Saccharomyces cerevisiae S288C: one gene and its partner. The gene in region 1 interacts genetically with each later gene. Each region holds a gene or a part of one and is shown on either strand. Other genes may lie near its edges. The genes, in order: VPH2 and PHO86.

The links.
Region 2: mutations in VPH2 (region 1) and PHO86 together harm fitness more than expected from each alone (negative genetic interaction), as found in Saccharomyces cerevisiae (2 studies listed by BioGRID).

What each region holds. Positions count from the first base shown.
Region 1 is NC_001143.9:214,861-222,575, forward strand, and holds VPH2 (Vph2p), read right to left. Parts: upstream 4,358-7,715; coding exon 3,710-4,357; downstream 1-3,709. Other genes in the region: DGR2 (Dgr2p), read left to right, coding at 1-1,840; OAC1 (Oac1p), read left to right, coding at 2,484-3,458; Hsp90 cochaperone SBA1, read left to right, coding at 5,464-6,114; serine/threonine protein kinase PRR1, read right to left, coding at 6,484-7,715. UniProt on the Saccharomyces cerevisiae protein: Required for vacuolar ATPase assembly.
Region 2 is NC_001142.9:187,968-195,879, forward strand, and holds PHO86 (Pho86p), read left to right. Parts: upstream 1-4,563; coding exon 4,564-5,499; downstream 5,500-7,912. Other genes in the region: DUF5427 domain-containing protein MTC1, read right to left, coding at 37-1,473; ALB1 (Alb1p), read left to right, coding at 1,749-2,276; ribulose-phosphate 3-epimerase RPE1, read right to left, coding at 2,407-3,123; YJL118W (uncharacterized protein), read left to right, coding at 3,672-4,331; SUN family protein NCA3, read right to left, coding at 5,893-6,906.

The DNA of each region.
Region 1 (7,715 bases):
CGGCTCCATATCAAGTAATGATTTGAAGCCGAGCGACCAGTTTGAAGGACCTTCCAAACAATTACATTTATACGCACCGGTTTTCTATTCTGATGTGTTTAGGGTTTTTATGGAGCACGCTTTAGATATTTTGGATGCAAACTGGTCCAAAAATGGATTTCTAATAACAGCATCAATGGACAAAACTGCAAAACTATGGCACCCTGAGAGGAAATACTCATTGAAAACTTTTGTTCACCCAGATTTTGTTACATCCGCAATATTTTTTCCCAATGATGATCGTTTCATAATTACCGGATGCTTAGATCACAGGTGTAGACTGTGGTCTATACTGGACAATGAGGTTTCTTATGCCTTTGATTGCAAAGATTTGATAACATCCCTAACATTATCTCCTCCTGGTGGGGAATATACAATTATCGGTACATTCAATGGATACATTTATGTTTTACTGACACATGGATTAAAATTTGTATCTTCATTCCATGTATCTGATAAAAGCACTCAAGGAACCACTAAGAATAGCTTTCATCCATCTTCCGAATATGGAAAGGTCCAACACGGCCCTCGAATCACGGGTTTACAATGCTTCTTTTCTAAGGTGGACAAAAATTTAAGATTGATAGTTACGACAAATGATTCAAAAATTCAAATCTTTGATTTAAATGAAAAAAAACCTTTAGAGCTTTTTAAAGGATTCCAAAGTGGTTCCTCACGTCATAGAGGCCAATTCCTAATGATGAAAAATGAACCTGTAGTTTTCACGGGAAGTGATGATCATTGGTTTTATACCTGGAAAATGCAGTCCTTTAATCTTTCAGCAGAAATGAATTGCACTGCTCCGCATAGAAAGAAACGGCTGAGCGGCAGTATGAGTTTAAAAGGGCTGTTGAGAATTGTATCTAATAAGAGTACGAATGATGAATGTTTGACAGAAACGTCAAACCAAAGCAGCTCACACACATTTACCAACTCATCAAAAAATGTTCTTCAAACTCAAACTGTTGGTTCTCAAGCTATCAAAAACAATCATTATATATCATTTCATGCCCATAACTCCCCTGTCACATGTGCTTCCATTGCTCCCGACGTTGCAATTAAAAATTTGTCCTTGTCAAACGATTTGATTTTCGAACTGACTTCACAGTACTTCAAAGAAATGGGCCAAAATTATTCAGAATCTAAGGAAACATGTGATAACAAACCTAATCACCCAGTTACAGAAACAGGAGGATTCAGCTCAAACCTATCGAACGTTGTGAATAATGTTGGAACCATTCTAATAACAACAGACAGTCAAGGTCTAATCCGTGTTTTCAGAACTGATATCTTACCGGAAATACGAAAAAAAATAATAGAAAAGTTCCATGAATACAATTTATTCCACCTCGAAGCTGCTGGTAAAATCAACAACCACAACAATGACAGCATATTGGAAAATAGAATGGATGAAAGAAGTTCCACAGAGGATAATGAGTTTAGCACAACCCCACCATCTAACACGCACAATAGTAGGCCAAGCCACGATTTTTGTGAGCTGCATCCTAATAATAGCCCGGTGATTTCCGGCATGCCATCAAGAGCTAGTGCTATTTTCAAGAATTCGATCTTTAATAAATCCAATGGAAGTTTTATATCCCTAAAGTCAAGAAGTGAAAGTACGAGCTCCACGGTGTTTGGACCGCATGATATTCCGAGAGTTTCTACCACTTATCCGAAGTTGAAATGTGACGTCTGCAATGGATCTAATTTTGAATGTGCTTCCAAAAACCCCATTGCTGGCGGTGATAGCGGTTTCACGTGTGCTGATTGTGGTACAATCCTCAATAATTTCAGATAGAGAATCAGAAAGTAAGAGGAAAAACTATCTGTTCCACCGTCTTTAGATCATAAGCATGTCTGCAAATAACATAGTATTATTATTTATATCTGTAGCGATCTTTATTATTTTTCATTACTGACACATTTTCTCACAGAACCATCTACAACCCGAAAGATGCCGGAAACGGTCTTAGGCCGATGGGGTCTATTAGGGCCTACAGAGACGTCAATTGGGCTATAAGAAAAATGAAATCGAGGAAAGATTTTCCACTCTCAAATTAAGTAGGGCAAAAATATGCTTTTGTTCGCATGTGGTGTTATTCCAGTTGCGAGTCAGGGTCTGCCGATATGCTAAAGGAGGTCACGAAAACGAATCTGGCATTTAATACCTCATTAAGTTACAGCGGAATCGGCCTTCTGTTGCGGAAAAAAAAAAAAAAAAGAAAACGAACATTAAGCACCGCTGAAATTTCAAGCTGTGACTAAGTCGTCAAATGATAAATACTGCATATATATAAACTATGTGATTATATGCAACATTAAGATATACTTTCTTCTTCCATAATGCCCCCACTCCAGAACTCCATCCGAAATAGTTTTCCTTAGATTGCTATAGCAAGTCAGACACAAGCACATCTCATCGAATTATATCGTAAGCAAATATGTCATCTGACAACTCTAAACAAGATAAACAAATTGAAAAAACAGCCGCCCAGAAGATATCGAAGTTTGGTTCGTTTGTGGCTGGTGGGCTAGCAGCATGTATAGCTGTTACAGTTACTAATCCGATCGAATTGATTAAAATCAGAATGCAGCTTCAAGGTGAAATGTCAGCATCAGCTGCAAAAGTTTATAAAAATCCAATCCAAGGTATGGCGGTAATTTTCAAAAACGAAGGTATAAAAGGTCTGCAAAAAGGGTTAAATGCTGCTTATATCTATCAAATTGGGCTAAATGGTTCCAGATTAGGGTTTTATGAGCCAATCAGATCATCATTAAATCAGCTTTTCTTCCCAGATCAAGAGCCACATAAGGTACAGAGCGTCGGAGTTAACGTCTTTTCTGGTGCCGCATCTGGTATAATTGGTGCAGTCATTGGCTCTCCATTATTCTTGGTGAAAACAAGACTTCAATCATATTCCGAGTTTATAAAAATTGGTGAACAAACGCACTACACCGGTGTTTGGAACGGGTTAGTAACCATTTTTAAAACCGAAGGTGTTAAGGGTCTATTCAGAGGTATTGATGCGGCAATTTTAAGGACAGGTGCTGGTTCCTCTGTTCAACTACCTATCTACAACACAGCAAAGAACATTTTGGTCAAAAATGATCTGATGAAAGATGGCCCAGCATTACATTTAACTGCTAGTACTATCTCTGGGTTAGGTGTTGCCGTCGTTATGAACCCATGGGATGTCATTTTGACAAGAATCTATAATCAAAAAGGTGACTTGTACAAGGGACCTATAGATTGTTTGGTCAAAACTGTTAGAATCGAAGGTGTAACCGCTTTGTATAAGGGTTTTGCAGCTCAAGTGTTCAGAATCGCACCTCATACAATCATGTGTTTGACCTTCATGGAACAGACAATGAAACTAGTTTATTCGATAGAGTCGAGAGTTTTAGGCCATAATTAATTCCCATAACAAACTCCGAGGTTTGAAGTTTCATTCATTGGCCAGGACAGTTCTACTTTACTAATGGTTTCATTACAACCTTTTTCTTCATATTATGTAGCATTAAGGATAATAGAGCATTTTTTATTTCACATTCATACACGATAGTTTTATAAACGTAATTATAAACATACAGAACATTATTCACAATTGTCCAGTTCCAAGAATTATATGCTCTCGGATCTCGGAGTTCTTATTTATAAAATGATCAGTTACAGTGTAATCTTGCTTAGAACTTTCTTTTTCTCAACCTTTGTTTTTTCTTTTACTTTTGCTTCTTCGAGTTTTTTCAGATAGCTGTTATACACAACCACATCTGCTACTAAGACCAATATTCCAAAGAACAAGCACAACAAAAGACGAACATGGACCGGAAAGTTTGTTGAAGATCCGGTCCAGTACCAAATGGCCACAACAACCGATATGACACTTACAAGAACGTTGAAAACAGTGGTAACTTGTTCCTTAATCTGTTTATTAATTTGTGAAGGCGTGAGTTCATCGTCTTCTTGAAGTGAAAAGACAGACTTGCTTCTCTTGACCATACTTTGATATTCAAGTTCTTGTTCCTGATATTTCAAAAACTCTAATTTTTTCTTGAAATCCTCTGAATAGTGTAAACCTCTGACGGCCTTGGGCTTGAATTCGAACTCCAAAGGTTTCAAAAGTTCTTTGATAGAGCATTGGAGATCACTGTCTTTTCTATACTCTTTCACATAAAAAAGAAGTGACTGCATAGGTATTGCGTGTCGCTTCAGGAACAAATCAATGTCCTCATCAATTCCTTCGTTTGATTTCGCGCTATTCTTGAACTTTCGCAGAAATTCAGTTATTCTATCATTCAGTTTAATTTCGAACATTAGAGTTCTTTTATGTGATGCCAATCGTCAATTATCCTATCTTACCTTTTCTTCATTTCTTTCAGCGTTTTCATGTGAGATTTGCTTTATTTTCGCTTCCTCGTTTCTCATTTTAAATATTCACACGTCCGTCATGTCTACTTTGAGTCAGTTAAATACACAAGATTTTTGTAAAACTGAGTATTTCGTGAACAATATAATTGTTCGGATTCAATCATAGTTAAAGACTATAGTATGAGATACACAGAATATCCTAAAAGTTCCCCTCGAGGGTATAGGAAACCTCAAAATGGAATCGGTCTTTCTACATGATAATATTACTCTAACTTCTTTTCTTCTATACTTTGCCATTCATTACCCTATCACGTTATCAATCCTTGCATTTCAGCTTCCATTAAGACCGATAACTGTTTCCCAATCTCTATGTCATCATCTTACACCGCTGTGATAATATTCTAGGAAGACGAATACTAGCCAATAGATGATACAAGGATTTCATTTCGACAGAAACAAAAAAAGCATGGAAAAACGAATGGAGACAAAGAGGAAGTTAAAGAAAGTTCATTTGTGACCTCATTTACTCAGAAGAATTTCGTAAATCGGTTGTTATAGAACTGTTTTATTGTTTAAAAGAGCTTGTTATAGTAATCTAAGTGGAAATACACTAACAGTAAATAGGGCGTGTGGCGTAGTCGGTAGCGCGCTCCCTTAGCATGGGAGAGGTCTCCGGTTCGATTCCGGACTCGTCCAATCTTTTTATACTTATTAATAATTTTTTTCCTGCCGTTACTTGCTTTTAAAATAACTGCCTTTTATGAATACAGAGTATAATTTTTGATATACAAAGAGGTTGACTGTGATAATCAATACTTAATTTGTGGTTATTGGTACACATATACCTACAAAAGTTACCAACAAACTGTTCGACTTTTAATGCTACCCGCCTTCCGAGTGTTTTTGAAGGGGCGGAGAGGAGCGGCAAGAATTAGCATGGAAAAAAGCATAAAAAGACGAAATGGGTGGCAATGTATTAACTTGTTCGAGAAACCTAGTGGACTCAATTCATTACAACAACAAGTTCCCAAGATCATCGATTCATAATAGTCATGTCCGATAAAGTTATTAACCCTCAAGTTGCATGGGCTCAAAGGTCTAGTACTACTGATCCAGAAAGAAATTATGTCTTAATAACTGTGTCAATTGCAGACTGTGATGCCCCTGAGTTAACCATTAAGCCATCATACATCGAATTAAAGGCTCAATCAAAGCCTCATGTTGGCGATGAAAATGTCCATCATTATCAATTACACATTGATCTATACAAGGAAATTATACCTGAAAAAACAATGCATAAGGTTGCTAATGGCCAGCACTACTTTTTGAAATTGTATAAAAAGGATTTAGAATCTGAATACTGGCCACGTTTGACAAAGGAAAAGGTGAAGTACCCTTACATCAAAACTGATTTCGATAAATGGGTTGATGAAGATGAACAAGACGAAGTTGAAGCTGAAGGTAATGATGCCGCTCAAGGAATGGATTTCAGCCAAATGATGGGAGGTGCTGGAGGTGCTGGAGGTGCTGGAGGCATGGACTTCAGCCAAATGATGGGAGGTGCTGGTGGCGCTGGTTCTCCAGATATGGCTCAATTGCAGCAATTATTGGCTCAAAGCGGTGGTAATTTGGACATGGGAGATTTCAAAGAAAACGATGAAGAAGATGAAGAAGAGGAAATAGAGCCGGAAGTGAAAGCTTAAAAGGAGGAGCAAATCAACCTGGAGTGCTAGAATGAGTAACTTAGAATAAAAGACGAATATATGCACTTTACACAACTCTTTACCTGTTTGTTATTGGCTGCCTCTATGTAATTAAATATTATGGAATTAATAAAAATATTTTTATTCGTAACTATCTTAGATATATATTGTACATTGTCAAAAAGACAGTAGTAAGCAGATAGAAGCTATATTGGATGCAAAATAGAGAAAAAAGCAGAAATATTATGTTGCAAATGTCAAGTAATGGAACTGTATGTGATATTTAAAGAACAATTTCTATATGCTGGATGATTATCAGGTGTAAGCAATAAGAAAGAAAACGAAAGTAACTCCCATCCGTGGGAAATTTCAAGAAAAACTTAGAGTATCAGCGATCGTTTTAACGAAGGGGGATTCGTAAATTTCATTAATCGACCAACGTTGGTTCTTCCTCGTTAGCGTATTTTCCACAATCTGTTTTCCCACATTAGTTTTATAATCGCTTAACCGGTACCATCTCCAATCAAACCTGGCAATACGATGTGACGTAGCTCTGCTACGCTGTCTTGCTGAAGCGTTTGGAGGAGGGTCAAATGGTAATCTGTCCTCAAACAAGCTGTATAGTATGACACCTAAGGCCCACGTGTCGCTTAAATGGCCATCGTAGGGAACTCCCATCAGGATTTCTGGTGAGACATAATCCTCTGATCCACATCTTGCTGTACACATCTCATTGTTCTCAATTTTTTTGCAGAGACCAAAATCTGCTAGCTCAATGAAATTTTGCTTGCAGTAAATGGGTGAGTCCCTAAAACTGTTGATATCATCAAAACTATATTTCAGTAGTATATTCTCTAATTTTAGGTCCCGATGAATAATACTGTTTTCGTGCAAATATTTTACTGCCAGTACTACTTCCGTAAAAATCCTTTGAATCAGCCACGCTTCTAGTCTTCCGTTACGGGCCATGACGGCAGCTAATAAGTCTCCTGCAGGACAATAAGACATAATCATATCACAAGGCGGCAGAGCTCTTGGAGTTTTTATAATCAAATCGCATAAAGGTTTTTTGCTAGTAACAAAAATTGGATTGTTTATCCCAAGTAGTTTAACTATACATGGGTGATTTAGTGATTTTAGCACCTGCAATTCCCTAGTCAGAGAATTTTCCAAACGGGATAAAGTTTCCTTATATCGTAACGATGTATTGATTTGTTCAACATTTGATAATTCCTCGGGATATTTGAGTCGTTTAACGGCCACTTGTTTCAGTTTAGGATTGCTTTGGTCCATGAGTTCATATAAAAGTACGGTACTAAAATTTCCTGAACCAATGGGCCTGACCTTTTTCCATAATAACGGGCGATCCCAGTGATCTAAAAGAAATCCCTGAAATATATCATCGTCACACTTTTCGGTAGAACTACTACTTTCGGGAAAATAAGGTTCTTTCGTGTAGTTATCACTATCAACAGAATCATTTACTAAAGCCTCTTCAGTCACTGTTGGTAAGGAAACAACCCTTTGGGGGGATAAATTAGCTGGTGCAATAAGTTCAGAAACAACTCTTTGGTTTGGTTGTGTAACAGAAAGCATATCAT
Region 2 (7,912 bases), on another chromosome or scaffold:
TCATCGTTACGCTATAAATGTTATGTATTAAGTGTATCAAAGACCCATACGGTCAATGACATAATTCTGTGCCATGACCCCAAATGACAAGCTTAATCCATCTTCGATCCATTCCTTTACCCATTCACTAGGATCAATGATCTCATCGTCTTCGTCTTCGTCTTCACTTTCTTTTTGTTTCTTTTGATCGTATGACTTATTCCTCTCCTCACTTGCTGTTGATCCTGTTTTCTCCACGGATCCTTCTAGCCAATTGACCCATTTGACAGGGAATCCTTGTGATCTTGTTATGGTGGTAATATCGTTAGTTATGTCTTTCAATACAAGGGTGAAATTGAAATTGCCTGGCGTATTGGAGTCGGTCACTTGAAAGTCACCGTCGGCATCTTTTTGTTTTTGCGGAATGGCAATTGGTAAGATGGATATGAATAAATCACTGATTTTATTGCTGTTACTGCTAATAGAACTCCTATCGTCATCTGGAGTGGCATCAGCCTCTTTCTGTTGTTTCTGGTATTCCTCATGTGCAGTATTGAAGAGTTTGACTGCATTTTCCAGGTTTGCAAATGCCAGTTTCTCACCGTCTGTTACCTTGCCGTCGAATAGATTAAACTGTAATTTTTTTTTAGAGTTGCCTAACTCACCGTCTGCAACTGAAGGCTTTTTTTCCACAGGTGTAATTCCATTATTGTTAGGATGGCCCCATTCATCTACAAATATTCTGATTCCTCCCTCAACTTGTGAGCTTAGAACTTGATCAAACTTGCTTTCAATATTGTATTGTAATGAGGGATAGTTAACCAAATCATGGACTAGATGAATTCGCAGCACCTCTTCAGTCTCACCAACAACGATTTTCTGTAAGTTTCTGGCTATTTCAGTAATCGTGCTCGTGTTTATCTTTGAAGTCAAATCAAGCTGTTCTTGGGCAAGTCGGTTTTTGATCTGGGATGCTTGTTCTGCAGTTTTATTCCAAATACTCGATACCTTTGCGGATCCAGAGGAGGACCACCAGTTTGAAATAGAAGCAATTGGGTCATGCAATGGGGTCTCCTCCTCCTCCTCTTCTTCTTCTTCTTCTTCCTCCTCTTCTTCTTCTTTCTCCTGCTGCTGTGGTTCCTTTTCCTTTCCGTGAGCGTCCTGCTCGGAATTTTTGTTTTCTTTTGATTCTTCTACTTTTTCGTCTTGTGCTTTATTATTAACTGATTCACTGGGAGCCTTCTTTTCAACCCCTTTCTTGTCAGTTAAGCTTAAGTTACTCTTCTCCAACTCTTCTAAGAATTCAAAGATATCATCGTCACCTTTCTTTCCATCATTCCCGGTCTTGCCCGCCACAGAATTAGAACCTCCCTTAACGCCTTCTTGGCTACCCTTTACGTCAGTATTAACCATTTTCCCGCCATTCTTTGCTTCTGGCAAAGAATCTAAAAATTCAAATACGTCTTCAGCCTCAGAGTTCTTATTTTCAGACATTTTGCCCTGGTAGTATGTATGTTTTTAATCGATTGAGTCTAGTTAACCTGTCCCTTGTTCTATTCTTCACCGTCTCGTCCAACTTCCATCAAAGAACCAGAAACCAGAAAATCGCCGGTTTCTTCCACGCGTCAATCCGTTTGGAATGATCTCATCGCAAAATTTTTTTTCGCTAAAATTTTCATAGAGAGTATCAATATTAATATATGGTTATAACTTATGGCGGCATTAGTCGATGAGGTGCTTGCCGAAGAGACTAGCACAGCCAACCCATAATGCCTTCTAAAAACTCCATCAACAGACCTAAGCTGACTTCAAATTTGCACCACAAGGTGCACTCTTTAAATAAGAAAAGAGCTCAAAGAGAAAGAGCTGGTCTCTTGAAGCCAGCTAGATCCAGCGTAAATTCGAAATCTGGGGAAATAAAATCAGTAGCGTTGGACCTATACTTCCAAAACAAGAAGAACGAAAGTCAGAATTCCACTGCTGTGACATTACAAAATGCTTCATCTTCTCCGGCCTCCATCACCACGAGGACACTTTCCAAAAAGAGAGCTAAGAAAATCGAGAGAAACTTAAAATATGCTACACAGAGAAAATTATTGGTTGACGCAAGCGCTAAGCTAGAAGACGAAATGGATATTGATCTAGATGGCGGTAAGAAAGTGAAAGAGAATGAAAAGAAGAGTTCTTTGACTTTGGTTAAGGAAGCCTTATGGAGTGTCATTGACGATACTGCATCCCAGGGATTGATCATCGAAAACGGACAAGGCACCACCCTGGGCGGCCCATTTTTCCCATGAGTTAGGCACTTACGTATCTTGTATAGTAGGAATGGCTCGGTTTATGTATATTAGGAGATCAAAACGAGAAAAAAATACCATATCGTATAGTATAGAGAGTATAAATATAAGAAATGCCGCATATGTACAACTAATCTAGCAAATCTCTAGAACGCAATTCCTTCGAGACTTCTTCTTTCATGAAGGAGATAACATCGTGCGGGTCAGCTGCAGTGAAAACACTGGTACCAGCGACAATAACGTTGGCACCGGCTTTGGCGGCTTTCGGGATGGTCTCCTTGCCCAAACCACCATCGACTTGGATATTCAAATGGGGGAACTTGGCTCTCAAAGTTTCCACTTTTGGCATCATGTCTTCCATGAATTTTTGGCCTCCAAACCCAGGTTCCACAGTCATAACAAGAGCCATATCCAAATGAGGAGCTAGTTCAAATAAAACGTCAACAGAAGTACCAGGTTTGATGGCGCATGCAGCTTTGATGCCCTTAGACTTAATCAACTTAACTAAATGCAAAGGGTCTTGTGTGGCCTCGTAGTGGAACGTAAATTGGTCAGCACCACATTTAGCAAAATCGTCGACCCATTTTTCAGGATTTTCAACCATCATGTGACAATCGAAGAACGCAGTGGGCTTCTTTTCTGTGTTGCTAGCATCGCCAGGGCGTGGCACAGAACGACGTAGGGAGGTAACAATTGGTTGGCCCAGAGTAATGTTTGGAACAAAATGGCCGTCCATGACATCGATATGTAACCAATCTGCGCCGGCGTTGATGACCTTATGACATTCGCAACCCAAGTTGGCGAAGTCAGAAGCAAGGATACTGGGAGCTATAATTGGTTTGACCATTTTTTCTTGTGTGTTTACCTCGCTCTTGGAATTAGCAAATGGCCTTCTTGCATGAAATTGTATCGAGTTTGCTTTATTTTTCTTTTTACGGGCGGATTCTTTCTATTCTGGCTTTCCTATAACAGAGATCATGAAAGAAGTTCCAGCTTACGGATCAAGAAAGTACCTATACATATACAAAAATCTGATTACTTTCCCAGCTCGACTTGGATAGCTGTTCTTGTTTTCTCTTGGCGACACATTTTTTGTTTCTGAAGCCACGTCCTGCTTTATAAGAGGACATTTAAAGTTGCAGGACTTGAATGCAATTACCGGAAGAAGCAACCAACCGGCATGGTTCAGCATACAATACACATTTGATTAGAAAAGCAGAGAATAAATAGACATGATACCTCTCTTTTTATCCTCTGCAGCGTATTATTGTTTATTCCACGCAGGCATCGGTCGTTGGCTGTTGTTATGTCTCAGATAAGCGCGTTTGTTATGCGAAAAAAAAAAACTTTACAGAGGCTTTGTTTATATATAGAAAGACCACGAAAAAAACAGTGATGGCTTCATGCTTTTCAGTTTCATTATTGGCACGAGTAGCAGTCGTTGAGCCCATCAGAGTGCAACTTTGGTTAAATGTCGTAAATTGTATGATTGAATCATCCATGCACCAATGTCCTCCACGGGATCGCCACTTTTTTTCTTCATCACGCCCCATTTTGTTGATCCGACGTTCTGTATCAACTGTATACAGATTCGTTGCTTCTCGCACCACACAGGTTTTACGTGCGGCCAAGACCGTTGTCAAGTGGTTCATTATTGTCGACCCACTGATAAATTCTATTCTAATCAATTATCTCATTGATAGGCTCTGCACTCTTGGGCATGCTGTATTGCGAGTGAAAAAGCGCAAGACCGAGGAGAGACAACCCTGTTCTCCCATTATACAACACACACACGTTAAGAGACGCAAACGGCCTCGTCTGAGGATCGTAGCCATCAAGAGGAAGCGGAGGCGTCGAAGACCACATCGCATCGAGCGTCCACTCTCAAATATGTACCCAATAATGGAAATCCAGATGGTGGCTGTTCCACTTGCTCTTCCCAGTCCAACTGCACTGGTGCATTATCAGCAGCAGCAACAGCAGCTCCCGCAACATCATCCCTGGTACGACCTCTCGCTTTCTGAAGAAGCCCTCTCGACCTGCTGTTGTAGTTGACCTATAACTGAAAATTCACACCCGCATTACCCAGCGCGCCCGCACGTGCTCTTTATGGAAACTATAATGAATAACGACCAAAGAACATCTTTTTTTCTCTCTCACACAAATAAAGCTTTTCATGTTTATAGATATATAGCACATACTTTTACTAAGTTTTCTAGATTGATTACGACTCTTCCAGTTGCACATTTTTTCATAGCGAAAGTACAAGAGTAGGAAGAGTGGCACAATGGCGGTTCAACAAAGAAAGAAGAAAGAGGGTAGAAAGTCCGATAAAAATGCCCCATCGGTCCCACAAGTAGATGCATCATTAGACAAACCACTTGATATTGATGCTCCTCCTACTATTTACAGTGTTAATTTGAAACCAGAATATGGTACAGCTGCATTGAATTTGTCCGCGGATTTCATCAGACAAGAACAGGCATTGGCTAATAAGTATTTGTTCTTCCATCCCGTCATCCTTGTTGTTCTAACCATTGGGCTGCTTATTTACTTGACGCCAAGAATTGTCTTTCCGATAAGGAATACAGGATCCGTTGCTGGATGGTTCTACCAGCTGGCTCGTATTAATAAGAAGGTCGTCCTCAGCGGTTTAGTGTTCACCGCAATTGGTGCATCTTTCTTGTTCACCCTCCTCTCACGTGTATCTGACTCGTATTTCAAGTCGAAGATCAACCAACTTGTTGGTTCTAAAGGTGAGAAAGTTTTCGGCATCAATTTGAATGATTTGGTGGCAAGACATGAAACAAAGGATCCAGTGGTGAACAATACGCATATCATCGTTTATAGAGAAACGCCCATTGCATTGATTTCGTTAGCCCCTAACATGACATTAAGTACTGATGAAAATTTAGTCATGAGTGTTACTACTGTGGGTTGTCGTCGTGTATATGTAAAAAGTGGCATTATCGAAGATTTGATTGATTGGGCTATGCTACACTCCAAAAATATTAGAAGCAGCGGCAAATACGGGGAGACCATGAAACTCTTGATTGATGTCTACTCATTCGATAGCACGCTTAAGGAAATTTTGAAGAAAAAAGGGTTCACTTATATTCAAAGCATTAGAGTCTCTGAAAATCGACTACTAGGCGGTTTGTTCGGTGTGAAGAAGGAATTATGGGGTTTGCAATTCCATTTTAAAGCCGAACACAAGGACTAGGATACTGTTATTTTTATAGCCAAAAAATGAAAAAAAACAGCATGGCATCTTGTTAGTTCTGTTGCAACTCGCAGGAAGTAACAAAATAAACACTATAATATTTCCATATATTTATATATATGTATACAAACACCTTGTTAACAAAAAAAAAATAAACGAACTAAAGAAAACCGTAATGCAGAGTACACCTTGAAGAGAGAGAAAAGAAAATCTTTGAATCCATAGCATAATAGCGATCAACGAAACTTTTTAAGAAGTAAAATGAACTGAAAGGAGAAAAATATAACGGAATCCCAATGTATAATAATAAATAGAGAGCGGAAGAAAAAGAATAATAAGGGGAATTGAGGGTATCAAAATACAAGACATTCTTTTACCGAAAAGAAGAATGACTTAATAGAAAACAAATTCAGCAGATCCAGATAAAACAGAAACTGTGCAACCATCGGAACCATCTCCGGTGAAAGAGCCATCTTCATACGCACAGCTGCCCTGAACGTTAGCGCCATCGGATGCAACTATTTTAACGTTAAAGTTGGCAGCTTGGTTACTGTTGGGGTTTGGAATCAACGACAAGTATGTTTCTCCATTAGTGGAACCAGCACCTAACACTAGTGGAGCCCAGTTGCCGACATCCGAACCAGAAGTACCCCAAATGCACCCATCTTCTGCAGATACACCGGCGTTGTTAATATAGTACTGAGCAGAAGTCTTTTTACCCTGCCATTGATAATAAGTGTCTTCATCAACGACTGAAATTGGTTGTGAATCTCCACCATCAACCACTGTGGGAATCACCATGTTTTCTGATCCTGGGTAATCCGTCCTACATAGAGCAATGGAGTCAGACTTTTTGTTAATGGCCTTAGCAGATGTTTCATCCGTAGAACATAAATCGCTGGTATCAGTGTTGGTACGGTACAAGTAACCATTTTTACAGTAAAGACCACCAACAGATTTACCATCGCTTGGTTGGTCAGAAGGCCATTGAGTCTTTGACATTCCAGGTTCACATGCATAAGAACAGTAGTAGCCATCCTTACATTCGGACGAAGTGTTGGCATCCATGTCCATGACAGAGGCCCATCCACCAAATCCTAGCCAGTCCAAGGAAACTATACCGTTTACAGAAGGGAAGTCCGAACATTTGACAGTACCATCTTGGAATCCGCCATCACGCTTCTGTTCAGAGGTATCCTTCTCAGATGAGGACAATGTAGTGGTAGTAGCAGCAGATTCTACAGTACTAGTAGCGGCATTGGAATCTATGTATTGAGTGACAGTGACAACCGCTGGTTTTTCATCTTTGTGATGATCTTCATGGTGACTGTCCGCTGGAGCAGGTGCAGGGGCAGAAAATGCGACAGAAGAAAGGGAAGACAATATTAAAGCTGCGGAAATTTTCATTATGTGTTAGAGAGAGACGAGTTAAGTATGTGCGACTATACTAGTATTATAATATTAAAGGAAAGTAAGGTACCGTCTATGAGGAGACTGTTAGTTGGATATCAGTAATGAGACGAAAAAGCTCGAAATGAATGGATATATTCTTTTTGCTACTGGCAACTGTTGAATATTTAATGTTAAAACAAACTAACTGAGGTATATTCGTATCTGTATGTACACATATACTATATACAGGAAAAGATAAGCAAGAGAGAGGATATCAACTACGAGAGCGATCGATTATATATCAAAAGCTGTCCGCTTTGCCACCCATAATCGGCGCTTAGTTTCGGAGTTCAATCATAATTCTACCACCTTACACTCAACTTACTCTTTAACTCCTATAGTATAATATCGCCACTGACCCCATATTAAAAAAATTTTTTTGCTCGATCTTCTATCCTCTTTAGGTTAATTGTCGCTGTTATTGTCTAGATTTTTTCTCGGAGATGGCGCATCTATTTGCCGTCAAAAGATCCTCTCATACCATATTAAGTAAATTGCCTCCATTTCTTTTTCCTCGGGCAGAGAAACTCGCAGGCAACTTGCTCTCGAAGTGGTCACGTGCGGGTCTAGGCCTGCATAATCGGCCCTCACAGAGGGATCCCGTTACCCATCTATGCTGAAGATTTATCATACTATTCCTCCGCTCGTTTCTTTTTTCAGTGAGGTGTGTCGTGAAAGAAAACCCACAATTAAACTTTCAACAACCGGGCGACTAGGAAGAGAGTAGTGGGCGCGGATGACGAAGGCTAAGGTCACTTCTTCGTTTCCTTTATTGGGGTTTCCGTGTAGCCTTCCCCTGAATAGTGTGGGACGTTTTATGAGAAGCCGTAAGAAATAGGCAAATTGAGTTATGACAAGTAGACATGATGCCGCAGCCTTGCCTGACTTTACGTCTCCTTCATGAATAAGTTTTTCTATCGAGTTCTTTTCCTTTTTTCGCCTTAATTAGCTCAATTAAGCC